4 linked regions of the Stegostoma tigrinum genome follow. The protein of the gene in region 1 purifies or fractionates together with the protein of each later gene. This does not show direct contact. Links are inferred from orthologs where the notes say so. Each region holds a gene or a part of one and is shown in the gene's direction. Other genes may lie near its edges.

The links.
Region 2: the proteins of histone H2A.Z (region 1) and ruvbl2 purify together in Homo sapiens (affinity purification with mass spectrometry; 6 studies listed by BioGRID and IntAct, with this or other methods). This does not show direct contact. The link is inferred for Stegostoma tigrinum from reciprocal best matches to the Homo sapiens genes H2AZ1 and RUVBL2.
Region 3: the proteins of histone H2A.Z (region 1) and nap1l1 purify together in Homo sapiens (affinity purification with mass spectrometry; 3 studies listed by BioGRID and IntAct, with this or other methods). This does not show direct contact. The link is inferred for Stegostoma tigrinum from reciprocal best matches to the Homo sapiens genes H2AZ1 and NAP1L1.
Region 4: the proteins of histone H2A.Z (region 1) and vps72b purify together in Homo sapiens (affinity purification with mass spectrometry; 4 studies listed by BioGRID and IntAct, with this or other methods). This does not show direct contact. The link is inferred for Stegostoma tigrinum from reciprocal best matches to the Homo sapiens genes H2AZ1 and VPS72.

What each region holds. Positions count from the first base shown.
Region 1 is NC_081354.1:4,079,878-4,087,684, forward strand, and holds histone H2A.Z, read left to right. Parts: upstream 1-4,795; 5' UTR 4,796-4,891; coding exon 4,892-4,894; intron 4,895-5,054; coding exon 5,055-5,132; intron 5,133-5,446; coding exon 5,447-5,560; intron 5,561-6,579; coding exon 6,580-6,709; intron 6,710-6,824; coding exon 6,825-6,886; 3' UTR 6,887-7,322; downstream 7,323-7,807. UniProt on the Homo sapiens protein: Variant histone H2A which replaces conventional H2A in a subset of nucleosomes. Nucleosomes wrap and compact DNA into chromatin, limiting DNA accessibility to the cellular machineries which require DNA as a template.
Region 2 is NC_081391.1:18,535,709-18,542,551, forward strand, and holds the start of ruvbl2 (ruvB-like 2), read left to right. Parts: upstream 1-3,835; 5' UTR 3,836-3,918; coding exon 3,919-3,927; intron 3,928-6,843. UniProt on the Homo sapiens protein: Possesses single-stranded DNA-stimulated ATPase and ATP-dependent DNA helicase (5' to 3') activity; hexamerization is thought to be critical for ATP hydrolysis and adjacent subunits in the ring-like structure contribute to the ATPase activity.
Region 3 is NC_081371.1:63,287,982-63,294,908, forward strand, and holds the start of nap1l1 (nucleosome assembly protein 1-like 1), read left to right. Parts: upstream 1-3,917; 5' UTR 3,918-4,017; exon of another isoform or gene 4,018-4,029; intron 4,030-6,927. UniProt on the Homo sapiens protein: Histone chaperone that plays a role in the nuclear import of H2A-H2B and nucleosome assembly.
Region 4 is NC_081400.1:5,038,823-5,045,729, reverse strand, and holds the start of vps72b (vacuolar protein sorting-associated protein 72 homolog), read left to right. Parts: upstream 1-3,896; 5' UTR 3,897-3,951; coding exon 3,952-4,068; intron 4,069-6,907. UniProt on the Homo sapiens protein: Deposition-and-exchange histone chaperone specific for H2AZ1, specifically chaperones H2AZ1 and deposits it into nucleosomes.

The sequences.
Region 1 (7,807 bases):
TGCTGAAGTGAATAAAAGGATGTTAAATTTCGTCATTAATTATATATTTTTGGGAAGTATATTTTGTAAATTATTTTGACAGATTTAACTGAAAGGAAATCACTGTTGGATCATTACATTAGACAGTTAAATATACTGTGTGTTTTCATGACTTTGGCTGATAATATAGTGAATGCATGCACCTAGAGTGTAGTATAAAGTGGCTACAATTTTCACAGTGTCTGAAATTGCATATTTGTGCAGCATGTGCTTGTTTAATTTCCCCAAGAACTACACACATGCAAACAATTCTCACCAACCCCTTGCTCACCAAGAATCTGCATACTTTTGCCTTAATAATTAACGATGGGGAAAGAGGGGGCAGTGACAGAGTATGATCTTGTACATCCTTCCAGTATATTTATGGCAGGTAGTAAAGGGAGCAGGAGAGTCACCTGGTACAGATACAGATCAATGCCCTTCAAGCTAGCAACTTATTCATGGAGAAATAAACTAGCCCTTGAAGTAGGTATAAGCACATGCTTTGTCTGTCTTGTGTGCAAAGAAGATAAAATACTATAACTGGTTCTCCAGTTGTATCAGACCAACTGAAAATTTCCAATATTTTCTGTTTTGTAAAACTTAAAGCTCCCAAAGTGGGTTCAATCTTCTTGTGTTCGTTATGCGGTGAATTTTAGGGCATAGTTGCAGATGTACAAACAGGCCTTCATGCTGATTTGTCTGCTGTGGCGTAGTGGGTAGCATTCTCATTCTGTGTTTCGAGGTTGTGGGTTTAAGTCCCACACAAATGACTTGAATACAAAACTCCCGGTTGACACTCCATTGCAGTGCTGTGGTCATGCAGCATTGTCAGAGTCATTACTGAGGTGGTAACGCTGCTGCATCATTGCAGATGTCATCTTTCACATTAAATGTTTAAACCAAGTCCTGATCTGCCAGAATAAAAACCGAAAGAACTGCAGATGCCACCCTCTCGGATTGATGTGCGACTTTAACAGAAATCCCACTGAAGAAAATATTACCCGGTTGCAGCCTCATTTATTGTGTCTGGGATCTGTCTGTGCACAAAACGGCTGCCATGTTTGCTGTGTTCCAAAGGTGAATACTGATGAAAACACTTGGAAAAGTATTTTGCAGCTGTAAGGTGTTCTGATATTCTGAATTTGTGAAAGGCACTCTGAAATTGCAAGTCTGTTTTTCCAGTAACTGAGACAGGTTTAAAAATGCAGAAATCTTTCAACGCGTAATTTTCACAATCAATTTAAATTCATTTAATCATTATTTTTATGTTCTAATGATTGATTTCTCAATTTCTGACACTGATCAGTCTGTCAATTGTTCTCTTAAGATCCTAATGAAATATTTTGTAAAAATTTAATACAGTTTTTAATGCATTTTTATTCCCAATGTTCATTTGTCACCACAATTCTAACCAGCTTGGCTTTTCCCATTCCTACAGCTATTTATGCTTACACTCAACAGAAATAGTTTTCCATCCCGTGTAATATTTAAATCATTCAAAGGTATTTTCCAGAAGATATCAAAACTTAACATATAAAAACTTATCACGGGGCAAACGCGATAGGCAAATAAAATGCAACCAAAACCCCTGCAAATGATAAAAATGTGTCAAAACACAGAAAACTCTGGATGAACAGGCTAGTAAGCCTCTGTGCAAAGAAAACAGGTAATGTATTAATAAGGGGACTGTCCGATAATAGTGACACATCAATTCTACCAGTAATTAAGTTAACCTGAATAAGTCAGTGAATTTTGTACGGTGTGCAGAATTCAGTACATACTGGAATTTGTTGGTCAATTTTACAGGGATTGGTACTGGGTCCACTTTTGTTTGTCATTTATGCAAATAATTTTAGATAAGGATTTGGAAGGCACGGTTAGTAAGTTCACAGATGACACCAAAATTAGTGATATGACGGACAGTGAAGGTGGTTATTTAAGATTACAAAGAGATCTTGATCAATTAGGTCAATGGGTTGAGGTGTGACAGATGGAGTTTAATTTGGATAAATGCAAGGTATTGCATCTCGGTAAAACAAACAAGGGCTGGGACTTATTCAGCTAATGGTGGGGCCCTGGGTAGTGTTGCAGAACAGAGAGGTCTAGAGGTTCAAATACAGAACTCTTTGAAGTTTGCGTCACATGTAGATTACAGCTAATACAGTGAAAAGTTTCAACAGTTGCTTCAATCTGGTGACATTTTCAATCGTTTAAAAATAAAAAGGATGAAAAATATAACTGGAAGACAGTCATGCGTCACCATCCCTCCTCTGCTGCCATGTGTGTCAGACCCATCGATGTGGGAGTTGCCACTCTAAGTGCCATCTCTTTGGTGCTAGAACAACCTTGCCAGGCCACGTGCTGAATCCATACACGCACCCAGAACCAGGCTGGCTCTGCTGCTGTCTCAATGATGCCAGGAGTCCCAGCCTGAGGCATACCACACTGCTGCCGCTGCAGCCACCATCTTGCAAATGCCAAGAGTCCCTGCTCTGGGTATACTGCAACACGGAGACCCTGGCTCCACTCCTAGGCCATGGCCACCGTCTCACAAAGGGTCTGGCTCTGGCTGTCCTCCTGCAAGATATCACCTCGCTGGCACCATCACCTTAAAATCTGCTGCCACTGCTGCTTCCATTTGCTGGAGGAGCTTTGCTGCCACCGCCAGCCCTAAATACGGGAGGACGTCCCTGTTGCCACTGCAGCCACGGCCTCCAGTTGCTGTGAAGAACTGTGCCCACTGGCAGGAGCCACCACCAAACCACTGTCAAAGCTGCCACACTGATCTCGCTGACTAATCTGCTGCAAAAGGGCTCCAAAGAAAAATGAAAGTAAAAGAGCAGCAGTAAAAAGAAATAAAAGATGGAAAGCAGGCTGGAGCGGATCAACCCCGGGCAAGATCCCGCACACTGCCCTGCCACTCTGCTGTTATCTTCAATCTGTTGGACGTCATGTTGAGGTTGTACAGGACATTTGTAAGGTCTCATCTGGAGTACATGTTCTGGTCCAGTCGTCCTTCTACAAGAAGAACATTATCAAGCTGGACAGGATTCAGGAAAGATTTACCAGGATGTTGCAGACACAATAAATGGAGAGTTTTAGTTATAAGGAGAGGCTGGATAGACTGGGACTATTTTCCTTGGAGCATAGAAGGTTGACAGGTGACCTTGTAGAGGTTTATAAAATCATGAGGGCTATAGATAAAGGCGAATGGTAGGTGTCTTTTCCCCAGGGTGGGGGATTTCAAGACTAAGGAGCATATTTTTAAGCTAAGAGGATAAAGATTTAAAGACATGAGGGGCAACTTGCTTACACAGAAGTGGTTTGTATGTGGAATGAACTGCCAGAGGAAGGGGTGCATGCGGGTAAAATTACAATGTTCAAAAAACATTTTGATAAGTACACGAATAAGAAATGTTTGGAGGGATATGGGCCAAGCGCAGGCAGATGCGACTATTTTAGTTTAGGGTTATGGTCAGCATAGACTGGTTGGACCAAAGGGTCTATTCATATGACTGTGTGACCCTATTACTGGATGTATGTATCACACGTCGATGAGCACTACCCTGAATGATGGAAAGAACATGAAGTTCAAGCTGGAGCAAGGCATCTGTCTTCTAGATGAAAGGGGATGTAAAAGGTCTCATGGCACTATTTTGAAGAACAGGGGAGCTCTTCTCAATGTCTTGGGTCCAACATTTATCCCTTAATCAATATCACGAAAAGCACTCTCTGCTCCATTTACTGTGCTGTGGGAGCTTTACACTGTGTGCAGATTGTTTACCTTTTGTACTCTGACTGCATCTGCATTTCCAAAGCACTTTCTTGGCTCTTGAAGAGCTCCAAAGCACCAACAGTTGTGAAAGTTGCTGTTAAGAGTGCAAGTTATTTCATATATACACAAAATCTATCTTTGTGCATGTTTTGAGTTCTAGCTATGCGTCGACATTGAAATCATAGGTTTTCCCCCAATTTTGACATGTCTTGAAGATAGAATTTTGTTGCAAGCAATTTTTCAGCAAACTGTCTGGTGGCATTGTATGGTAGAAATAGAAACACTGTTGAAGAAACTTGGTACTGAGTCAGTTATGATTCTTCTTCAAAGAGTCACATCATTGTGGAATCATAACAGACCCGAAACTGTTTCTTTTGTGATAAGGTGCAGAGCTGGATGAACACAGCAAGCCAAGCAGCATCAGAGGAGCTGGAAGGCTGACATTTCGGGCCCAGGCCCTTCTTCAAAAGGTTTCTGCTGTGTTCTCTGAGATTAGAATAGGGCTAACCTTTCAAATCCGATAGCTTCAAAGATGAGTCAATATCGGACGCTAACGGTTGACTCTGTGTTTCTTTCTCTCCGCACAAATGCTGCCAAACACACGTGAGTTACTCCAGCGCTTTGCTATTCATATTTTCCTTTTGGCAGTTTATCAGCGGCTAAAACTTTTTTAAAAAGGTGTATTTTCTTCTGGGGAAGGGTCTCCGGACTGGAAATGTTAACTTTGCACTCATGCTGAGTTGCTCCGGCACTTTGTATCTTTTGTTTCACATGTGCAACAGCCACAGTTCATTGAGAAGCGCAATGTCTAAAATGCAACTCGGACAAAGTGCCCCGCGGCACCACGTGCACCGGGAAGGCGAGCACGGCGCGCGCGCACACCAACCTCCTGGGCCCTCACTGGCGGCGCGTACGTACGCGGATGGGTGCGCGCGCACGTACGTACGTACCTCCCGCCCTCCAACCCTCCGATTGGCCGCCGCTCGGTAGCCCGGAGCCCGGATGTGGGCAGGGGCCCGGCTATAAATAGGAGCGGCGCCGGGGCGGGAGCGCAGAGCGGTTTGAAAATCCGGGGCCGGAGGATACGAGGCGGTGATGGTGAGGAGGCAAACAAAATGTTGTCTAATTTTAATTTGTGAAAATAAGCGACAGATCCGCGGTCGCAGACAGGGGTTTGGGGGGGGGGAAAAAAACATCTCGACCACAGGACGCAAACCGGTTTTATTTTTTTTTACCTCTTGTTGCTATTCTCTGATAGGCTGGCGGTAAAGCGGGTAAAGACTCCGGCAAGGCGAAGACCAAAGCGGTTTCCCGCTCACAACGAGCAGGCCTCCAGGTCAGTGCGGTTTCCCCGCGTCCATTACCGCCGCCTCCCTCCCACTGACTGACTGCAGTAGGGTCCAGCCTCGCACGGGCGGCGCGAGAGGAGGGAGTGCGGGCGGGCGCTTCTCTCAATGTTTTAGAACACGCCCCTCCCCCTTCTCCCTCCGGGAACCGGCTGCGGCCGGAAATGTCTTCCCTTCCCTCCCCTCCCCCCCCCCCCCCCCCCAACATATAAATATAGCGTTTCACGTCGCGGACGTTTGCTTTTTGTTTTCTGCCGGCCGTCTTTTCGTTTCCCCCCCCTTCTAAATCTATTTATTTTTACAGTTCCCAGTCGGTCGCATCCACCGACACCTGAAGTCCAGGACCACCAGCCACGGGCGGGTGGGCGCCACGGCAGCGGTTTATAGCGCGGCCATTCTGGAGTATCTGACGGCCGAGGTGAGTGTGTGGGGGGTGGGGAGCGCGTTACAGGCCGCGGCTCCATGACCAGCAGGTCCGTCACCGGATATGTTCCGTGTTGCCGGCTGGTAGGGTTCGAGGCGACTGTGTTCCGGCTTTATTTGGAGTCGGCCTTGCCGAATGGTCGGAGTGAAAGGTTCCGGTCTTATTACTTCCCTTATCGGGGGAAGGGTCATCGGACCTGAAACATTAACTCTGATTTCTCTTAAAGGTTGCTGCCAGACTTGCTGAGCTTTTCTCAGCAGTTTGTTTTTGTTTGATTTACAGCGTCCGCAATTTTTGGTCATGATTTCCTTCACTGTTCAGGTTTAATAATTAAATCTTCAGTCGTGTCTACTTGGGATCCTTCTGCAATCTCCTGTTCAGTCGAGCTGCATGTGGTTGCTTTGATTTTTGGAAATGGTTTCCCTACCCCTGACAAGTGATATTTGATATTGTATTTGATAATAGTTGAACTGCATTTCAAACCTTGGATTGTTACTCCCTTTTTAAAATTCATGATTCTTGTGTTGAAGTTCCCCCCCACCCTTGGTCTCTAATGCCTAACAACAACTAGTCTGTTTTAAGTTTTCAAGATAAAATGTGGGGCTGGATGAACACAGCAGGCCAAGCAGCATCTCAGGAGCACAAAAGCTCCTGAGATGCTGCTTGGTCTGCTGTGTTCATCCAGCCCCACATTTTATTATCTTGGATTCTCCAGCATCTGCAGTTCCTATTATCTGTTTTAAGTTTTCACTTGACTTTCCCTCAGAGGGGGGAACATTGAGGACTCCAAAGCATTAACTGATTTCTTTCTTTCCTGATGTTGCCATGCAGGCAAGTTTCTCCACAATTTTATTATTTTTATCTCCCTACACTTACAATACAAAGCATAACATTCACAATATCCTTCACTTGATTGCAGTAAATTTATATTAATACTTGATCTCTGGACTCAATTTTTAAAATTTGTTTGTTAAACAGCAGTGCTGTTTTTAATACCTTACCTGTTTTGTCAGGTACTAGAGCTTGCAGGAAATGCATCCAAAGACTTGAAGGTAAAACGCATTACCCCTCGCCACTTGCAACTTGCCATTCGTGGGGATGAAGAGTTGGATTCCTTAATCAAGGCTACCATTGCTGGTGGTGGTGAGTTAACATTTTAATTCAATAAACACTCAACTGTTAGAATTTTCTCTTCCCACAAAATATTGTTCTTCTGTGCTGTGGTGTCTTCCCTGCTGATTTATCTTTTTGTTTTCAGGAGTCATTCCTCACATTCACAAATCCCTGATTGGCAAAAAAGGACAACAGAAGACTGTTTGATGGTGGAAACTTCCTTTTTGGTTCACTAGTCTCAGGACTCCATCTCCAAATAATCAGCTGTAGAATGTTGGAGGATCTGACTGGAAAGACACTGGACTTCTGAAATGTGATTACATAGACATTTTTATCTCAATAGTATTCAGGGGAGGGGTCTTTTAAAAAGTAAAGCTCAATAATCAAACTTCCATGTGCACTAGTCTGGGAAAGCCAAATCTGGGACCATATCCTCCAAGGTGGGACTGTACCTGGGTGACCTGGAGTTGTTTCCTGGTTACTGCCTTTTCATAGCATCTCTGTTGCAGTATTTTAAATGCAGGAAGAGCTCACTGCTTGTATGACTTTTATTTTTGAAGTGGATTTAAATCCAGATGGTTTGTTCTGACTGTTTGTTCTGTCTATTGGTGTATGAAGTTTTCAATAAAATGTATTAAATGGCTGTGTGACTTGTCTTTTTAATTTGGGAATGCAAAGATCCCTAGCTAACCATTGAAGATAGTTTGTCCAGCATTAAAAAGCTCTGTCTAATGGCATTGATCACGTAACAGCTGCCAAGTGTTTCTTAATATACCACTGCATTTTGCAATTTCCTTGGTGTGAAACTTTTTGAAAGGTTTAATTCTGATGCTTTGACCTGTTTCTTTGCCTTTTTTCCAATAAACTGCAACAATATATGGTCCCCATCAAACAGCTTGTGCTATTTTGCTGCAAACAAATCCTGGCCAAAGATCTCATCCTGTTATACTTATTAGCAAGGCTATAACAGGATAATTTGCTTTGTACAGTGAGGTCAGTATTTAACTCGGTCACTGAACTGTAGAAATTCAAGTGTGGGTGCATTTATTCATGGGAATAACTTTAATAAGCTGAAATGTGGCTGGATTAAGATGTAAACAAAGTTTGTCATCAAGCTTTTACCAGATG
Region 2 (6,843 bases), on another chromosome or scaffold:
CCACACGGTCTGACCACCAGCTGCTGCCGCGCTCCACACTGGGACTGGGCCATTGCCACCGGGCTCCACACTGGGACTGGGTCACTGCCACCGGGCTCCACACTGGGACTGGGTCACTGCCACCGGGCTCCACACTGGGACTGGGTCACTGCTACCGGGCTCCACACTGGGACTGGGTCACTGCCACCGGGCTCCACACTGGGACTGGGTCACTGCTACCTGGCTCCACACTGGGACTGGGTCACTGCCACCGGGCTCCACACTGGGACTGGGCCATTGCCACCGGGCTCCACACTGGGACTGGGTCACTGCCACCGGGCTCCACACTGGGACTGGGTCACTGCTACCTGGCTCCACACTGGGACTGGGTCACTGCCACCGGGCTCCACACTGGGACTGGGTCACTGCTACCTGTCTCCACACTGGGACTGGGTCACTGCCACCGGGCTCCACACTGGGACTGGGTCACTGCTACCTGGCTCCACACTGGGACTGGGTCACTGCTACCTGTCTCCACACTGGGACTGGGTCACTGCTACCTGGCTCCACACTGGGACTGGGTCACTGCCACCGGGCTCCACACTGGGACTGGGTCACTGCCACCGGGCTCCACACTGGGACTGGGTCACTGCCACCGAGCTCCACACTGGGACTGGGTCACTGCTACCGGGCTCCACACTGGGACTGGGTCACTGCTACCTGTCTCCACACTGGGACTGGGTCACTGCTACCTGGCTCCTCACTGGGACTGGGTCACTGCCACCGGGCTCCACACTGGGGCTGGGTCACTGCCACCGGGCTCCACACTGGGACTGGGTCACTGCTACCTGGCTCCACACTGGGACTGGGTCACTGCCACCGGGCTCCACACTGGGACTGGGTCACTGCCACCGGGCTCCACACTGGGACTGGGTCACTGCCACCGAGCTCCACACTGGGACTGGGTCACTGCTACCGGGCTCCACACTGGGACTGGGTCACTGCTACCTGTCTCCACACTGGGACTGGGTCACTGCTACCTGGCTCCTCACTGGGACTGGGTCACTGCCACCGGGCTCCACACTGGGGCTGGGTCACTGCCACCGGGCTCCACACTGGGACTGGGTCACTGCTATCGGGCTCCACACTGGGACTGGGTCACTACCGCCATGTGTCACACTGGGACTGGGACACTGCTACCGTGCTCTGCACTGGGACTGGGTCACTGTCATCACCCTCCTCACTGGGACTGGGTCACTGCCACCGCCCTCCTCACTGGGACTGGGTCACTGCCACCGCGCTCCACACTGGGACTAGGTCACAGCCACCGACCTCCACACTGGGACTGGGTCACTGCCACCGCGCTCCACACTGGGACTAGGTCACAGCCACCGACCTCCACACTGGGACTGGGTCACTGCCACCGCCCTCCACACTGGGACTGGGTCACTGCCACCGCCCTCCTCACTGGGACTGGGTCACTGCCACCGACCTCCACACTGGGACTGGGTCACTGCCACCGACCTCCACACTGGGACTGGGTCACTGCCACCGCCCTCCTCACTGGGACTGGGTCACTGCCACCGGGCTCCACACTGGGACTGGGTCACTGCCACCGCCCTCCTCACTGGGACTGGGTCACTGCCACCGCCCTCCGCACTGGGACTGGGTCACTGCCACCGCCCTCCGCACTGTGACTAGGTCACAGCCACCAGGTTCCACACTGGGACTGGGTCACTGCCACCGCCCTCCTCACTGGGACTGGGTCACTGCCACCGAGCTCCACACTGGGACTGGGTCACTGCCACCGCCCTCCTCACTGGGACTGGGTCACTGCCACCGAGCTCCACACTGGGACTGGGTCACTGCCACCGCCCTCCTCACTGGGACTGGGTCACTGCCACCGAGCTCCACACTGGGACTGGGTCACTGCCACCGGGCTCCACACTGGGACTGGGTCACTGTCATCACCCTCCACACTGGGACTGGGTCACTGTCATCACCCTCCACACTGGGACTGGGTCACTGCCACCGGGCTCCACACTGGGACTGGGTCACTGCTACCGCCCTCCTCACTGGGACTGGGTCACTGCCACCGAGCTCCACACTGGGACTGGGTCACTGTCATCACCCTCCACACTGGGACTGGGTCACTGTCATCACCCTCCACACTGGGACTGGGTCACTGCCACCGGGCTCCACACTGGGACTGGGTCACTGCCACCACGCTCCAACTGGAAATGGATCACTGTCATCACCCTCCACCCTGAGACTGGGTCACTGCCACCCCCCTCCGCACTGAGACTGGGTCACTGCCACCCCCCTCCGCACTGAGACTGGGTCACTGCCACCCCCCTCCTCACTGGGACTGGGTCACTGCCACCCCCCTCCTCACTGAGACTGGGTCACTGCCACCACCCCCCTCACTGGGACTGGGCCTCTGTCACCGCGCTCCGCACTGGGACTGGGTCCAGTGGCAATTGTCACTGGAGTCTTAGTCCAGAGACCCTGGTAAAATTCAAAGCTGGTTTTAAGGCTTCCTAAGGCAGATGATGGAATTTGAATTCAATAAATATCCAAAATCAGGAGTCTAAAGATGACCCTGAATCCATTGTTGATAGCCAGGAAAAACCCATCTGGTTCAGTAAAGTCCTTTAGGGGAGGAAACTGCCATCTTTACCTCGTCTGGCCTACGCGTGACTCAGACAACACAGTAATATGGTTGACTCTGGGCAATTAGGGATGGGCAATAAATGTTGACCTAGCCAGTGATTAATGCATTTCATGAATGAATAAAACAAAATCTTCTTCATGTGAAATTATCTTACAATTGAGCTCACAGTACCAAAACAGGCACTCAACATAACTGGCTCATGTCAGGGGTTCTGCTTCAGAAGAACCAACCTTATCAAAATGATATTATGCACTATAGAAATATATATTCCAAGACAGACATCGATATATTTTTACACCTTAAATTGGTTTGGGATTGGTAAGTGGAATTGCTGTCAATGGTGAAGTCAGCTCACTTATTCCTTTTTATTATGTTATTATAGGAAGTTGAACTATAGATCAGCCATTACTTCCATAAACTGTAGCCTCATTCTTTCTTAAACCCAAATGCCTCTCTTAGATATTACCAGTTAAGTCTACCATGCTACTGAAATATAATGAATCCCCAGGTGGCTTAGTAGCAAGCACTGCTTCCTCACAGTACCAGGCACTTAGATTCAAGTCTCAGGCAATTGTCTATGTGGAGTTTGCATGTCCTCCCTGCTTCTGCCTGGTGGTCTGGTTTCCTCCCACAGTTCAGAGGTGTGCTGGCTAGGTGAAATGGCCATGCAGGTTTATGGGGATAGGATGGGTGGGATGTTCTTCAAAGGATTGGTGCAGACTCAATGAGCCAAATGGCCTCTTTCTGCACTGTAGTGGGTCTATGAAAACCCAGCCATCAAATGTTTTGGAAATTAGGATAACTTATCTTGGTAATTCCCTTCAGCCTCACAAACCTCGAATTGAGTAACCCCCGTCTTTTATTTCTGGCCTCTTTTGATTCCCACCAACAATTGCTCCACTACTGGGAACTGTACATTCAGCTGCTAATGGATTCCAAAACTCTGGAAGTCTCTTACTGTCTCCATTATATCTGGCTTAATCACCTCCTTATGGATCTTAAAACCCACGATCAAGCTTTTATTCATAGTCAGACTTCATTCGATAATGATCCTGAAAAACGCTTTGGGAGGTTTCATTGCGTAATAGGCGCTAGAGTATGGTATGTACAAGCTGTTGTTGTTGATAGTGATGAACTTGGGTTTGGCGGAGGAAGGAAGGACTGGAGCGGAACCTAGTTTCGGCGCTTTTGTTTCCTCGTCGGAGCTGGGCGGGTGGTACAGCCGGAAGTGTTGTCGGTGGTTGGAAACCGGTGGCGGCAGCAGCATGGCAACGGTGAGCGGGGACCGGGGGACGGCGAGACAGATCCTCGGGGGAGAGCCCTCACCACCCCCCCGGGGTAGGGGAGAGCATTCCGTTGTTATCCAAGCGGGAGCGGGCCCCCGTTAGAACGGGCAGAGATTCCCGGCGGAGGGAGCTGCGCGGCTGCAGAATGTTCGAGATCCTGGTGCCCGGGCTCTTACCGTCCCCGTCCCCACCGGCCCCCAAATTCCCCTCACACTCCCCTCCCCCCCCCCCCACCGCGCACACTCCCATCCCTCCCCCCCCCGCACACACTCCCTCCCCCCCCCCGCACACACTCCCCCCCCGCACACACTCCCCCCCCCCCCACACACTCCCCCCCCCCCACACACTCCCCCCCCGCACACACTCCCCCCCCCCACACGCACACTCCCCCCCCCGCCACACGCACACTCCCCCGCCACACGCACACTCCCCCCCACACACTCCCCCCCCCCCCACACACTCCCCCCCCCCACACACTCCCCCCCCCACACACTCTCCCCCCCCACACACTCTCCCCCCCCCACACACTCTCCCCCCCCCACACACTCTCCCCCCCCACACACTCTTCCCCCCCCCACACACTCTTCCCCCCCCCACACACTCCCTCCCCCCCACACACTCCCCCCCCCCCACACATCCCTCCCCCCCCACACACTCCCTCCCCCCCCACACACTCCCTCCCCCCCCACACACTCCCCCCCACACCCTCCCCCCCCCCACACCCTCCCCCCCCCCCACACCCCTCTCCCCCCCCCCCACACCCTCCCCCCCCCACACCCTCCCCCCCCCACACACTCCCCCCCCCACACACTCTCCCCCCCCACACACTCTCCCCCCCCACACACTCTCCCCCCCCCACACACTCTCCCCCCCCCCACACACTCTCTCCCCCCCCACACACTCTCCCCCCCCACACACTCTTCTCCCCCCCCACACACTCCCTCCCCCCCCACACACTCCCCCCCCACACACTCCCTCCCCCCCCACACACTCCCCCCACACCCTCCCCCCCCCACACCCCCCCCCCACACGCATGCACTCTCTCCCGCCCCCTCCCTGCAGGCACACACTCCCCCCCCGCACGCACGCACACTCCCCCCCCCCCCCCCGCACGCACGCACTCTCCCCCCCCCACGCACGCACACCCCCCCCCACACACTTCCCCCCCCCACACACTTCCCCCCCCCGCACGCACCCCCCCCGCACGCACTCCCCCCCCCCCACGCACACCCCCCCCCCCACGCACCCCCCCCCCACGCACTCCCCCCCCCCCACGCACTCCCCCCCCACGCACTCCCCCCCCACGCACTCCCACCCCCACGCACTCCCCCCCCCACGCACTCCCCCCCCACGCACTCCCCCCCCCCACACGCTCCCCCCCCCACACACGCTCCCCCCCCCACACACTCCCCCCCCCCCACACTCCCCCCCCCCACACTCCCCCCCCCACACTCCCCCCCCCACACTCCCCCCCCCCCCCACACTCCCCCCCCCCCACACTCCCCCCCCCCCCACACTCCCCCCCCCCCCACACTCCCCCCCCACACTCCCTCCCCCCCCACACTCCCTCCCCCCCCCACACTCCCCCCCCCACACTCCCCCCCCCCACACTCCCCCCACACTCCCCCCCCCCCACACTCCCCCCACACACTCCCCCCCCCCACACACACTCCCCCCCCACACACACTCCCCCCCCCACACACACTCCCCCCCCACACACACTCCCCCCCCCACACACACTCCCCCCCCACACACACTCCCCCCCCCACACACACTCCCCCCCCCCCACACACTCCCCCCCCCCCCACACACTCCCCCCCCCCACACTCCCCCCCCCCACACACTCCCCCCCCCCACACACTCCCCCCCCCCCCCCCACACACTCCCCCCCCCCCACACACTCTCCCCCCCCCCCACACACTCCCCCCCCCCACACACTCCCCCCCCCCCACACACTCCCCCCCTCCCCCCCCCACACTTGTCTGCATTAAACTCCATTTGTCACCTCTCAGCCCAGCTCTGCAGCTTATCCATGTCTCTCTGCAACCTACAGCATCCTTCGTCACTATCCACAACTCCACCGACCTTAGTGTCGTCTGCAAAATTTACTAACCCATCCTTCTATGCCCTCATCCAGGTCATTTATAAATATGACAAACACCAGTAGACTCAACACCGACCCTTCCAGTACACCACTAGTAACTGCTCTCCAGGATGAACATTTCCCATCAACTACCACCCCTCTGTCTTCTTTCAGCCAGCCAATTTCCGATCAGGTTTTCTAAATTAAACTAGTCCCATTTACCTGCATTTGGTCTACATCCCTCTAAACATTTCTTATCCAAACACCTGTTCAAATGTCTTTAAAATGTTGTAATTGTACATACTTTTACCACTTCCTCTGGCAGCTTGTTCCATTTACACACCACCCTCTGTGTGAAAAAGTTGCCCCTCGAGTCCCTTTTAAATCGTTCCTCTCATATTAAATCTATGCCCTCTAGTTTTGGACTCCCCTACGCTGGGGAAACTTGAAAACTGCTCTTTAGTTAGTGCTTGGGGAGCTGAAGACATACCTAAACTAATACAGTAGGCAGAGAGGCTCTTAAAGAAGCAACTCATCTGCAAGGATAACAGCTAGACACGTGGATGTCGGCAAAGCTTCAGAGTTTATTCAACTGTTGTCCCTTAACAAAAATATAAAAATGAAGAGAATTGATCCTTAGTTCACTTTGCTCTGGCCATAGGCTACCAGGCAGAAATGAGTCTTTCCACTTTATCTGATCAGTACAATTCTGTATTCAAATATGCTTTGAAGTTAATTTGATCCAGCAGCAAAGAAGAAAGTTTCAGAGGAAAGAACCAGGAAGAGTGGGAAATGTTAAAACCTTTGGCCTTTCAGGATGC
Region 3 (6,927 bases), on another chromosome or scaffold:
CTCGCACTATCCCACCTCTAGCAGGATTATCTATGCACTGGCACTAAAAACTCTCCTGGATGCACTTTAAAAATTCCACCTTGTCTAATCCACGAACATTAAGGTGAACAGAGTGGGGGTCTAGACAGAATTTGTGAGAGGGGCAGCTTAGGTGGTGTTTGGAGGGAGAACAGGTGATGGGGAGGGGCTAAGTGGGAGGGTGTTTTGTGGGGGAGAGGGGGCAAGTGTGGGAGAGGGGTTGAGTGTGGGAGAGGAGGCAGAGAGGGACTGAGGGGAGGGGGAGGAATTTGTGGAGGGGGGTAGGGTGGGGGGGAAGCGGGAGAGTGTGGCGGGGGAAGAAGTCGTGGGGAGTGAGGTAAGTGGGGGGGATGGGTTGGAGGAGGACAGAGTGAGGGAGGAGGTGGTGGTGACAGGGGTGGAACTGGGGTCAGAGTGGAGAGTGGGGAGGAGGGGTCAGCAGGGTGGGAGAGGGAGAGTGTGGGGGGGGACGGATTGGGGGGAAAGCAGGGGAGGGGAGTGGGTGAAGATGTGGGGGGATGAAGAGGGGGGAGAGCGGGGGGGGGCAGTGGGGGACAGCGGGGGGGGAAGCGGGTGGGATGAGGCGGGGGAGAACAGGGAAGAGGACAGCGGGTTGGGGGCGAAGCCGGGGACGAAGTCAGGCGAGAGCAAGGAAAGCAGAGAGAGATGGAGTGGGGGGAGAGCAAGGGAGGGGTGTAGGGGGATGCAGTGGGAGGGATGAAGTGGTGGGAGTGTGGGGAAAAGGAGTGGGAGGAGTGCCAGGGAGGGGTGTGGGGGGAATGGAGTGGGAGGGATGAAGTGGTGGGACCGTGGGGAAAGGGAGTGGGGGGAGTGCCAGGGAGGGGTGTAGGGGGGATGGAGTGGGTGAGGCAAGGTGGGACACGGTTTGTCAATCAGACGGAGAGTGAGCATAGAACATTACAGCACAGTACAGGCCCTTCGGCCCTCGATGTTGTGCCGACCTGTCATACCGATCTCAAGCCCATCTAACCAACACTATTCCATGTACGTCCATATGCTTATCCAATGACGACTTAAATGTACCTGAAGTTGGCGAATCTACTACCGTTGCAGGCAAAGCGTTCCATTCCCTTACTACTCTCTGAGTAAAGAAACTACCTCTGACATCTGTCCTATATCTTTCACCCCTCAATTTAAAGCTATGCCCCCTCGTGCTCGCCGTCACCATCCTAGGAAAAAGGCTCTCCCTCTCCACCCTATCTAACCCTCTGATTATTTTAAATGTTTCAATTAAGTCACCTCTCAACCTTCTTCTCTCTAATGAAAACAGCCTCAAGGCCCTCAGCCTTTCCTCGTAAGACCTTCCCTCCATACCAGGCAACATCCTAGTAAATCTCCTCTGCACCCTTTCCAAAGCTTCCACATCCTTCTTATAATGCGGTGACCAGAACTGTACACAATACTCCAAGTGCGGCCGCACCAGAGTTTTGTACAGCTTCACCATAACCTCTTGGTTCTGGAACTCGATTCTTCTATTAATAAAAGCTAAAACACTGTATGCCTTCTTAACAGCCCTGTCAACCTGGTTGGCAACTTTCAAGGATCTGTGTACATGGAAACCAAAATCTTGCTGCTTATCTACGCTACTAAGAATCTTACCATTAGCCCAGTACTTTGCCTTCCGGTTACTCCTCCCAAAGTGCATCACCTCATGTCTGCATTAAACTCCATTTGCCACCTCTCAACCCAGCTCTGCAGCTTATCTCTGTCCCTCTGCAACCTACAGCATCCTTCGTCACTATCCACAACTCCACCGAACTTAGTGTCGTCCGCAAATTTACTAACCCATCCTTCTACACCCTCTCTGAAGAAGGGTCCAGGCCCGAAACGTCAGCTTTTGTGTTCCTGAGATGCTGCTTGGCCTGCTGTGTTCATCCAGCTTCACACTTTATTATCTGGGATTCTCCAGCATCTGCAGTTCCCATTATCTCTTCTACGCCCTCATCCAGGTCATTTATAAAAATGACAAAGAGCAGTGGACCCAACACCGACCCTTGCGGTACACCACTAGTAACTGGTCTCCAGGATGAACATTTCCCATCAACTACCACCCTCTGTCTTTTTTCAGCAAGCCAATTTCCGATCCAAACTGCTATATCTCCCACAATTCCATTCCTCCGCATTTTGTACAGTAGCCTATTGTGGGGAACCTTATCGAACGCCTTGCTGAAATCCATATACACCACATCAACCGGTTTACTCTCATCTACCTGTTTGGTCACCTTCTCAAAGAACTCAATAAGGTTTGTGAGGCACGACCTACCCTTCACAAAACTGTGCTGACTATCCCTACTCAATTTATTCTTTTCTAGGTGATTATAAATCCTATCCCTTATAACCTTTTCCAACACTTTACCAACAACTGAGGTAAGGCTCACTGGTCTATAATTTACCAGGGTTGTCTCTACTCCCCTTCTTGAACAGGGGAACCACATTTGCTATCCTCCAGTCGTCTGGCACTATTCCTGTAGACAATGACAAGTTAAAGATCAATGCCAAAGGCTCGGCAATCTCCGCCTTGGCTTCCCAGAGGATCCTAAGATAAATCCCATCCGGCCCAGGGGACTTATCTATCTTCACCCTCTGAAGGATTTCTAATACCTCTTCCTTGTGAACCTCAATCCCACCTAGTCTCGTAGCCTGTATCTCAGTATTCTCCTCGACAACATTGTCATTTTCTAGAGTGAATACTGTTGAAAAATATTCATTTAGCGCTTCCCCTATCTCATCTGACTCCACACACAACTTACCACTACTATCCTTGATTGGGCCTAATCTTACTTTCGTCATTCTTTTATTCCTTTAATACCTATAGAAAGCCTTAGGGTTTACCCTGATCCTATCCGCCAACAACTTCTCATGTCTCCTCCTGGCTCTTCTGAGCTCTCTCTTCAGGTCTTTCCTGGCTACCTCGTAGCCCTCAAGTGCCCTAACTGAGCCTTCACATTTCATCCTAACATAAGCCTTCTTCTTCCTCTTGACCAGAGATTCCACCTCCTTCGTAAACCAATGCTCCCGCACTCTACAGCTTCCTCGCTGCCTGACAGGTACATACTTATCTAGGACACACAGGAGCTTTTCCTTGAATAAGCTCCACATTTCTAATGTGCCCATCCCCTGCAGTTTCCTTCCCCATCCTATGCTCCCTAAATCTTGCGTAATCTCATCGTAATTGCCTTTCCCCTAGCTATAACTCTTGCACAGTGGTATACACCTATCCCTTTCTATCACTAAAGTAAACATAACAGAATTGTGATCACCAAAGTGCTCACCTACTTCCAAATCTAACACCTGGCCAGGCACATTACCCAGTACCAAATCTAATGTGGCTTGGCCCCTTGTTGGCCTGTCTACATACTGTGCCAGGAAGCCCTCCTGCACACACTGGACAAAAACTGACCCATCTATAGTACTCGAACTATAGTGTTCCCAGTCAATATTTGGAAAGTTGAAGTCCCCCATGACAACTACCCTGTCACTCTCACTCCTATCGAGAATCATCTTTGCTATCCTTTCCTCTACATCTCTGGAACTATTCGGAGGCCTATAGAAAACTCCCAACTGGGTGACCTCTCCTTTCCTGTTTCTAACCTCAGCCCATACTACCTCAGTTGACGAGTCCCAAACATCTTTTCTGCGTCTGTAATACTGTCCTTGACCAACAATGCCACATCTCCGCCCCTTTTACCATCTTCTCTGTTCTTACTGAAACATCTAAATCCCGGAACCTGCAACAACCATTCCTGTTCCTGCTCTATCCATGTCTCCGAAATGGCCACAACATCGAAGTCCCACGACGTAACGGTGGCGGGAGGAGTTTGGGGGTGCGTGCACCGGCCGGCGTGGTTTGGGGGCGCGCACGTAGAAGGCGGTCCCCGGGGCGCGCCCCCGCAGGTTATATCCAACCAATCGGCGGCGCCGCTCGTTCTTTAGCGCCATCAGAGAGAGCGGGGCTGGAGCGCGCGGAGAAAGCGAGAGGTACGGAGCCAGGTAGAAACCTCGGGGGGGGGGGGGTAATAAATAAACAAGTGAATGCCGGGGGTAAATTGCGGGGACATGGTGTTCCGGGGGCGGGTAAAAACGGGGCTAAGCCACAGGGAGGTTCGGGCTCTCGGCCTCGGGCTGGAATACCGTGTCCGGCCCGGGCCCACCGCCTCCAGTTGCGTTTGTGTCGCGTGTGCGCTCCGGGGCCTGAGGGGGCCCTGTCGTCGTCCGCCCCGGCTCCGGCCTAAGAGAGGCCCCGGTTAGCGACTCCCGTTTCGGTCCACCCCGCCCGAACACGTGGCGGAGGCCGCTAGGAGGGTGGGCCCGGTCTTGGTGCCGCCGTATGGTCTGTGGCGCAGATGCTGTTCGGGTCCCGCCTGGGGTTTCCCCCTCCCCGGGGAGGGGGCTCCTGCGAGCTGGGTTCACTTTAAACCCCATTCCCACCCCGCGTGAGCTCGGAGAGACAAGGTCGGTTCAGAATAAATCCTTGGTCTGTGGCCCGAGACTACACGTTTCCTCTGGTGTTATAACACCGTTATATCTTAATATTCCACACCCTGTTGTAACCAGCTCTCGATGACTTTGATAATAAAACCTTTTCTGATTACAATGTGTACAGCTACATCTAATCTAGTTGAGTGTAGAAGCGTTGACTGTTAGCAAGGCCGAAATCATCTGATTTTCGTGATGAATGGAATGAAAGGCTTGTTTTTGCAAATGTACTTCTAAGAATGTTCTAGGAAGGACAGGTTTATCTGATTTATCAACCAATTATAAGATTGTGTGCAGCATAATTAGACGTTTTTACCAGACAAATGATTTATCCAACGTTTCTAGGAAAAAAATCAGTAATCCTTAATCAACTAGGGATATCCCAGTGAAAATGGATGCCTGTAGAAAGCTAAGTCTTTGCTTATTTGCTTGTGTCAGTTTAATGTACACCATTGAGTGCACAGCCTAAATCAAGGATGATACTGCAGTACTGAGTGTTTGACTGTCAGGCTATTCCATATAACTTTAATCAGTGGCATTTGTGCTTGTCTTGGTTTTTAAAACGTCAAAGTTTCTGTGACGTTATGGAACGGTACCTTGGTCAACCTATCTTGCATGATGTACACTGCCAAACAATAGCTAAGCAGTGGTCCATTTTATTAATGGACTCTTGCTGTGTGCAAAATGGCTGTGTTGGTAGTAGAGTGTCAGTTGGATATTAAAATGTGAGGCTGGATGAACACAGCAGGCCAAGCAGCATCTCAGGAGCACAAAAGCTGACGTTTCAGGCCTAGACCCTTCATCAGAGAGGGGGATGGGGAGAGGGAACTGGAATAAATAGGGAGAGAGGGGGAGGCGGACCGAAGATGGAGAGTAAAGAAGATAGGTGGAGAGAGTATAGGTGGGGAGGTAGGGAGGGGATAGGTCAGTCCAGGGAAGACGGACAGGTCAAGGAGGTGGGATGAGGTTAGTAGGTAGATGGGGGTGCGGCTTGGGGTGGGAGGAAGGGATGGGTGAGAGGAAGAACCGGTTAGGGAGGCAGAGACAGGTTGGACTGGTTTTGGGATGCAGTGGGTCGGGGGGGGAAGAGCTGGGCTGGTTGTGTGGTGCAGTGGGGGGAGGGGACGAACTGGGCTGGTTTAGGGATGCAGGGGGGGAAGGGGAGATTTTGAAACTGGTGAAGTCCACATTGATACCATATGGCTGCAGGGTTCCCAGGCGGAATGAGAGTTGCTGTTCCTGCAACCTTCGGGTGGCATCGTTGTGGCAGTGCAGGAGGCCCATGATGGACATGTCATCTAGAGAATGGGAGGGGGAGTGGAAATGGTTTGCGACTGGGAGGTGCAGTTGTTTGTTGCGAACTGAGCGGAGGTGTTCCGCAAAGTGGTTCCCAAGCCTCCGCTTGGTTTCCCCAATGTAGAGGAAGCCGCACCGGGTACAGTGGATGCAGTATACTACATTGGCAGATGTGCAGGTGAACCTCTGCTTCATGTGGAATGTCATCTTGGGGCCTGGGATAGGGGTGAGGGAGGAGGTGTGGGGACAAGTGTAGCATTTCCTGCGGGTGGTGGGGTTGGAGGGCAGTGTGGAGCGAACAAGGGAGTCACGGAGAGAGTGGTCTCTCCAGAAAGCAGACAGGGGTGGGGATGGAAAAATGTCTTGGGTGGTGGGGTCGGATTGTAAATGGCGAAAGTGTCGGAGGATGATGCGTTGTATCCGGAGGTTGGTAGGGTGGTGTGTGAGAACGAGAGGGATCCTCTTAGGGCGGTTGTGGCGGGGGCGGGGTGTGAGGGATGTGTTGCGGGAAATACGGGAGACGCGGTCAAGGGCGTCCCTGCAGCCATATGGTATCAATGTGGACTTCACCAGTTTCAAAATCTCCCCTTCCCCTACTGCATCCCTAAACCAGCCCAGTTCGTCCCCTCCCCCCACTGCACCACACAACCAGCCCAGCTCTTCCCCCCCACCCACTGCATCCCAAAACCAGTCCAACCTGTCTCTGCCTCCCTAACTGGTTCTTCCTCTCACCCATCCCTTTCTCCCACCCCAAGCCGCACCCCCATCTACCTACTAACCTCATCCCACCTCCTTGACCTGTCCGTCTTCCCTGGACTGACCTATCCCCTCCCTACCTCCCCACCTATACTCTCTCCACCTATCTTCTTTACTCTCCATCTTCGGTCCGCCTCCCCCTCTCTCCCTATTTATTCCAGTTCCCTCTCCCCATCCCCCTCTCTGATGAAGGATCTAGGCCCGAAACGTCAGCTTTTGTGCTCCTGAGATGCTGCTTGGCCTGCTGTGTTCATCTAGCCTCATATTTTATTATCTTGGAATTCTCCAGCATCTGCAGTTCCCATTATCTCTGTCAGTTGGATATGCCTTTTTTTCCCCTAAATGCTAGGATGGGATCTT
Region 4 (6,907 bases), on another chromosome or scaffold:
GCGCTGTCAGAGGGTCAGCGCCGAGGGAGCGGGCGCTGTCAGAGGGTCAGTGCTGAGGGAGCGGGCGCAGTCGGAGGGTCAGCGCCGAGGGAGCGGGCACCGTCGGAAGGTCAGCGCCGAGGGAGCGGGCACCGTCAGAGGGTCAGCGCCAAGGGAGCGGGCGCTGTCAGAGGGTCAGTGCTGAAGGAGCGGGCGCTGTCAGAGGGTCAGTGCCGAGGGAGTGGGCGCTGTCAGAGGGTCAGTGCCGAGGGAGCGGGCGCTGTCGGAGGGTCAGTGCAGAGGGAGCGGGCACTGTTGGAGGGTCAGTGTTGAGGGAGCGGGCGCTGTCGGAGGGTCAGTGCTGAGGGAGCGGGCACTGTCGGAGGGTCAGTGCTGAGGGAGGGGGCGCTGTCGGAGGGTCAGTGCTGAGGGAGCGGGCGCTGTCGGAGGGTCAGTGCTGAGGGAGCGGGCGCTGTCGGAGGGTGAGTGTTGAAGGGGTTGGGTAGCGTTGTGCTTTCCCCTGGTTGTAAATGTGTGTGAGGGTCACCAATGGTGTTGTTGTTGCGGGGGGGGGGGTTGGGTGGTGAAGAAAATTTGTTCGCTCTCCCATCACGGGATGAGGGTGATGCTCGCACGGCAGCATTTATTGCCCCATCCCTAATTGCCCGGTGGCCTGGGGGGGGGGGGTGCAATTAACCATCAACCACATTGCTATGGGTCTGGAATCACACATTTGGGCCAGACCAGGTCAGGATGGTCGCTTCCTTCCCGAAAGGACATGAAGGAACCAGTTGGGTTTTTCCAACAAGGGATTCATCATTATAACACACAACAGCACAGGCCCTTCGGCCCACAAGGCTGTGCTGTATTTTTACCCTGTCCCAAAGGTGTATCTCACCTCCACCCCTACCTTGTGCTTTCGTCAGTTAGATTCTGAATTCCAAATATTTTATTGGATTCAAATTCCACCATCTGCCGTGGGCGGTCTTCGAATCCAGGTCCCCGGAACGTCTCCCGGATCCACAGTCCCGCGATAATCCCGCATGCACGCTTGGAGACTGGATTATTTCTCTGAACAATGTCGTGGGTATGGGGGAGGGCTCTGATCAATCGATAACTGGTTTATCGGAGATAACTGATCCTGACGACCGAGGTCAGAAGTCATCAATCCACCTGATCAGTGCAATCTGATGGTGAAACCCTGTAAAACCATAAAACAGTTTGCACAAAGGCAGGGCTCACCAACAACAGGTTTGCAAACCTCCTACCACTGTAGAAGGAGGACAGATGTTGAACTGACCTCTCCCTGTTGTTTTTGAAGTGTGCCATGAGTCCTGTGGCTCTCGGGTCAAAGACCGTTGATGTCTCTCACTGCCGCCCGACCTCCTGCGGTTCCCCAGCGTCTGCGTGTTGACTCGGAGCAGGCCATTTGGCCCCCTCGAGCCCCAGCGGTTTGAGGCGATCGTCACTGCGGCGAATTCCATGATCCCTCCGACTCCTGGCCTGAGAGGAAATCCCGTCCCCGTGAGGTCCAAAGCCTCCGACAGAAGCGGATGCCCTCGTCTCCGCCCCGTCATGTCGCCGTGGCCCCCTCGCTCAGGACCGACCCACAATCGGAAAAGTCCAGTCCACGTCCAGAGGGGGAGAGGTGGGATGCTGGTTGCAGAGTCGGTGCGGACTGGATGGGCCGAATAGCCTTCCGCGGTGATTGTCTGAGCAAACATTCTGCCTAATCACAATAGCCATATTTCACACGGCCTTTCGACTGAACAATAAATAGTTACACTGAGGTAAATTAGAAAGAACATAAGAATCTGAAAAAAATACCGTGCAACTTCACAGAGACACGGGGAGAATGTGCAAACTCCACACAGACAGTCGCCCAAGGGTGGGATCAAACCCAGGTCCTTGGCGCAGTGAGGCTGTTGCGCTAACCACTGAGCCACTCCAGCACAGGGTAATAAAAAGATAACTGTGCCATTAACTGCTACTTTGGCTCCTTCTTGCTTTCTGCGGCAGGGAATTCCACAGCCCCCTGCTCTCACGTATTCGCCTCAGGGAAAGATGCTGCAAATCAGAAGCAATCATGGAAATCACTGGCAAAAATCAGCTGGTCTGGCAGTATCTGTGGATGGGTTAATGTTTCGCGCCTCTTGGGAAATTCGAAAGACGGGCCACTGGACCCAAACATGCCAACTCTGCTTTCTCTCGTAGAAAGCATCTGGTCCAATGCATCACAGCTTCGGATAGTAACTGCTCTGCCCAAGGTCATAACAGACAGACATACACACAGACAGACACACAGAGGCAGACACACAGCAACAGACATACAGAGACACACACAGACATACACACAGCGACAGACATACAGAGACACACACACATACAGACACACAGAGACATACACACAACGACAGGCATACAAAGACACACACAGCGACAGGCATACAGAGACACACACAGACATACAGACAGCGACAGACATACAGAGACACACACAGACATACACACAGCGACAGACATACAGAGACACACACAGCGACAGACATACAGAGACACACAGAGACATACACACAGCGACAGGCATACAGAGACACACACAGACATACACACAGCGACAGACATACAGACACACAGAGACATACACACAACGACAGGCATACAAAGACACACACAGCGACAGGCATACAGAGACACACACAGACATACAGACAGCGACAGACATACAGAGACACACACAGACATACACACAGTGACAGGCATACAGAGACACACACAGACATACACACAGAGACAGACACACAGAAACAGACATACTGAGACACACACAGACATACACACAGTGACAGACATACAGAGACACACAGAGACATACACACAGAGACAGACACACAGAAACAGACATACTGAGACACACACAGGCATATACACAGAAACAGACATACTGAGACACCAAGACATACAGAGACACATACACAGATGTACAGAGGCACAGAAACAGATGGAGACAGATATAGACACCACACCGACATTTACACAGACTTACAGAATAATGGACACATACAGAGACACACAGAGACAGGCAGCGATGGACTATAGTATGTGAGAGGTTCATAAATCTGATATCAGCAGGGAAGAAGCAGCTCTTGAATCTGTTGGTATATCTTTTCAAACTTTTGTATCTTCTTTCGGCAGTAGAGGATGGGAGGGAATATAACTGGGTGGGAGGGGGTCTTTGATGATGTTAGGTGCTTTCCCAAGGGCAGTGGGAAGTGTAGACTGAGTCAACAGATGGGAGGCTGGTTTGTGTGATGGGCTGGGCCACTGTCTGTAATTTCTCGTGATCTTGGGAAGAGCAGTTTACAGACAGGATGCTTTCTATGGTGCATCTGTAAAAATTGGTGAGTGCCCTTGTGGATATGTTAGTCTGTCTTCATTTAACCCTTTCGGACAATGCGGCATTACTGGTATCTCTTTTGTCACTTACTACCCCTTGAGCTGGATGCCTGGCACACACAGTTTCAGGGGAGGTGACCCCACCGTTGCCAATGGGTCTGGAGTCACGTGTAAGACTTGGTCTGGTTTGGGAGGGGGACGGTGGAAGAATTAATTACCCATTTACGAACATGATTGCGCAGTATGTACGTGGGGATGAGTGCTGGGGGTGATGCCTCATCCAGTCGAATAGCCAACCGAGGGTTGTACAGGTTTGAGTGCGGACAACTGGATTCTTTCACAAAAAGCAACTCAGGACCTGAGGAAGGATTTTCTTAAATAAAATTAAAATCACCCCTCATTGATTCATCCCAAACCCCTCACTGAAATAAGTAGCCAATAGGGAAGTGGTGTTTCTCGATCGACGTTCTCCGGGATCGATCGTCACGTCCTGGAGGACCAGTGGGAGGAAGACGCGCAGGCGCGACCGAGCGCACTCCGAGCGGCTCGAACGGAGAAGCAGGAGACGGCGGCGCCATGAGCCTGGCGGAGAACCGGCCGTCGAGGAAAAATGCCGGTAACCGCATGTCGCGGCTGCTGGAGGCCGAGGAGGACGATGACTTCTACATGACGACCTACGGGGGTTTCCATGAGGTGAAGGAGAAAGAGGGACTTTAAAAGAAGAGGGAGAGCTCGCCCAAGGTGGCGGGAGGCCGCCGCCATCTTGGAAGGGACAAGCGGGCGCAACCGAGCTTGCTGTCTGGGGGGCGGGGCCACTTCGGGAAACGCCTCCCATCTCAGCCGCCATTGGGCTTAGTTCCTATCGGTTACTATGTCTTGTGTCATCATTGGCTGCCGCCGCTGTCAATCAGCGCTGTGCCACTTACCTGCACTGGGGAGATTTTTTCAGATGCTTCAAATAGACCTTTCGGCCCAACCAGTCCATGCTGACCCGCCTATCCTAAAGTAATCTAGTCCGAAATAGAGCCATACAGTCAGGAAACAGACCCTTTGGCATAACCAGCCCATGCTGATCCCCTATCGTGAATTAACCTAGTCCCATAAAGTGTCATACAGCGTGGAACTAGCCCCTTCAGCCCAACCAGTCCATGCTGACCTCCTATCCTAAATTAATCTCGTCACATGTGGGGTTTCAAAGCGTGGAAACAGACACTTCAGCCCATCTTGTCCGTACTGACCTGCTTTGCTAAATTAATCTAGTCCCGTTCTCTCAAAGTAAGCTTGCAGGTTGAGTCAGTAGTAAGCAAGGCTAATGCAATGTTGGCATTTATTTTCAGAGAACTTGAATTTAAAAGCAGGGATGTACTACTGAGGCTTTATAAGGCTGTGGTCAGGCTACATTTGGAGTATTGTGTGCAGTTTTGGGCCCAATATCTCGGGGAAGATGTACTGGCCCTGGAGTGGGTTGAGAGGAGGGTCAGAAGAATGGTCCCAGGAATGAAAAGCTTAACATATAAGGAACATTTGAGGACTCTGGGACAATACCCGTTGGAGTTTAGGAGGATGAGGGGGTTCTAATTGAACCTTATATAATAATGAATGGCCTGGACAGAGTGGATGTTGTGTAGATGTTTTCATTTGTAGGAGAGACTAGGACCTGAGGGCACAGCCTTAGAGTAAAGGGAAGACCTGTCAGAACGGAGATAAGAGAGAAGCTTCTTCAGCCAGAGAGTGGTGAATCTATGGAATTCACTGCCACAGAAGGCTGTGGAGGCCAAGCCATTGAGCACATTTAATACTGAGATAGATAGGTTCTTGATTATCAAGGGTTACGGGGAGAATGTTGTTGAAGAACTTATCAGCCACGATTGAATGGCGGAGTGGACTTGATGAGCCGAATGGCCCAATTTCTGCTCCTGTCTTATGGTCATATACGATCATACAGTCAGGAAACAGATCCTTCGGCCCAACCAGTCCATGCTGACCGGATATCCTAAATGAATCTAGTCCCATCTGCCAACATTTGGCCCGTATCCTCCTAAACCTTCCCAATTCATGTACCCCTCCAGATGCCAGGGAGTGTGTTAGAAGCAGCAATACGATGATCCAAACCCTAGAAAATTAAACGGTGTGATTGTAATCTAATCCCTAGTCTTGCACATTTTCCAAATCAATGCAGTTTTTGATCCTGGATGGATTTTAATGAAAGTTGACATTAATAACAGGGGGATTGAGTTTAAGAGTCGTGAGATCTTGTTGCAGCTCTATAAAACTTTGGTTGGACCGCACTTGGAGTGCTGCGTCCGGTTCTGGGCGCCCTATTGTAGGAGGGATGTGGATGCTTTGGGGAGGGTTCAGAGGAGGTTTACCAGGATGCTGCCTGGACTGGAGGGCTTATCTTATGAAGAGAGGTTGACTGAGCTCGGTCTCTTTTCATTGGAGAAAAGGAGGAGGAGAGGGAACCTAATTGAGGTATACAAGATAGTGAGAGGCATAGATAGAGTTGATAGCCAGAGACTATTTCCCAGGGCAGAAATGGCTAGCACGAGGGGTCATAGTTTTAGGCTGGTTGGTGGAAAGTATAGAGGGGATGTCAGAGGCAGGTTCTTTACGCAGAGAGTTGTGAGAGCATGGAATGCGTTGCCAGCAGCAGTTGTGGAAGCAAGGTCATTGGGGTCATTTAAGAGACTGCTGGACATGTATATGGTCACAGAAATTTGAGGGTGCATACATGAGGATCAATGGTCGGCACAACATTGTGGGCTGAAGGGCCTGTTCTGTGCTGTACTGTTCTATGTTCTATGTTCTAAGATACTGGAAACCCAAAACAAAAGCTGAAGTTTGCTGTAGAAACCCAGCAAGTCTGGTGGAAGGAGAGAGAACAGAGGTAACGTTTCGAGTTTTACTAGAGATTTGCCGGGATGTTGCTTGGAATGAAGGGTTTAAGTTATGGCGAGAGGCTGGGACCTTTTTTCCTCTGGAGTGTAGGAGGTTGTGGGCTGACCTTACAGAGGTTTATAAAATCATGAGAGGCACGGACAGGGTGAAAAGTTTTTCCCTAGACTGGGGGAATTTCAAAACCAGGCAGAATTTTTTAAGGTGAGAGGAGAAAGATTGAAAACAAGACATGAGGGGCAATTTTTTTTACACAGAGAGTGGTTTGTATGTAGAATGAACTTCCAGAGGATGCGGAGTGCAGCCACAGTTACAACGTTTAAAAGACATTTGGGTAAGTACAGGAATAGGAACGGTTTGGAGAGACATGAGCCAAACACAGGCACGTGAGACTAGTTTAGCTTGGGGGAAACCTGGTCAGTGTGGATTAGTTGGGCTGAAGAGTCTGCTTCTGTGTTGTTTGACTCTAATTATATCTAACTCCTTCTTGGAGACATTTAATGGTGAGGTGTCTTCTGGAGCACTGTGTCTAGTTCTGGTTGCCCTGCAAAACGAATGATATTAATTTGAGAGGGTTCAGAAAATATTTATGAGAACCTGGAGTGAACTGCCCGGGGAAATGGTTAATGCAGGTACC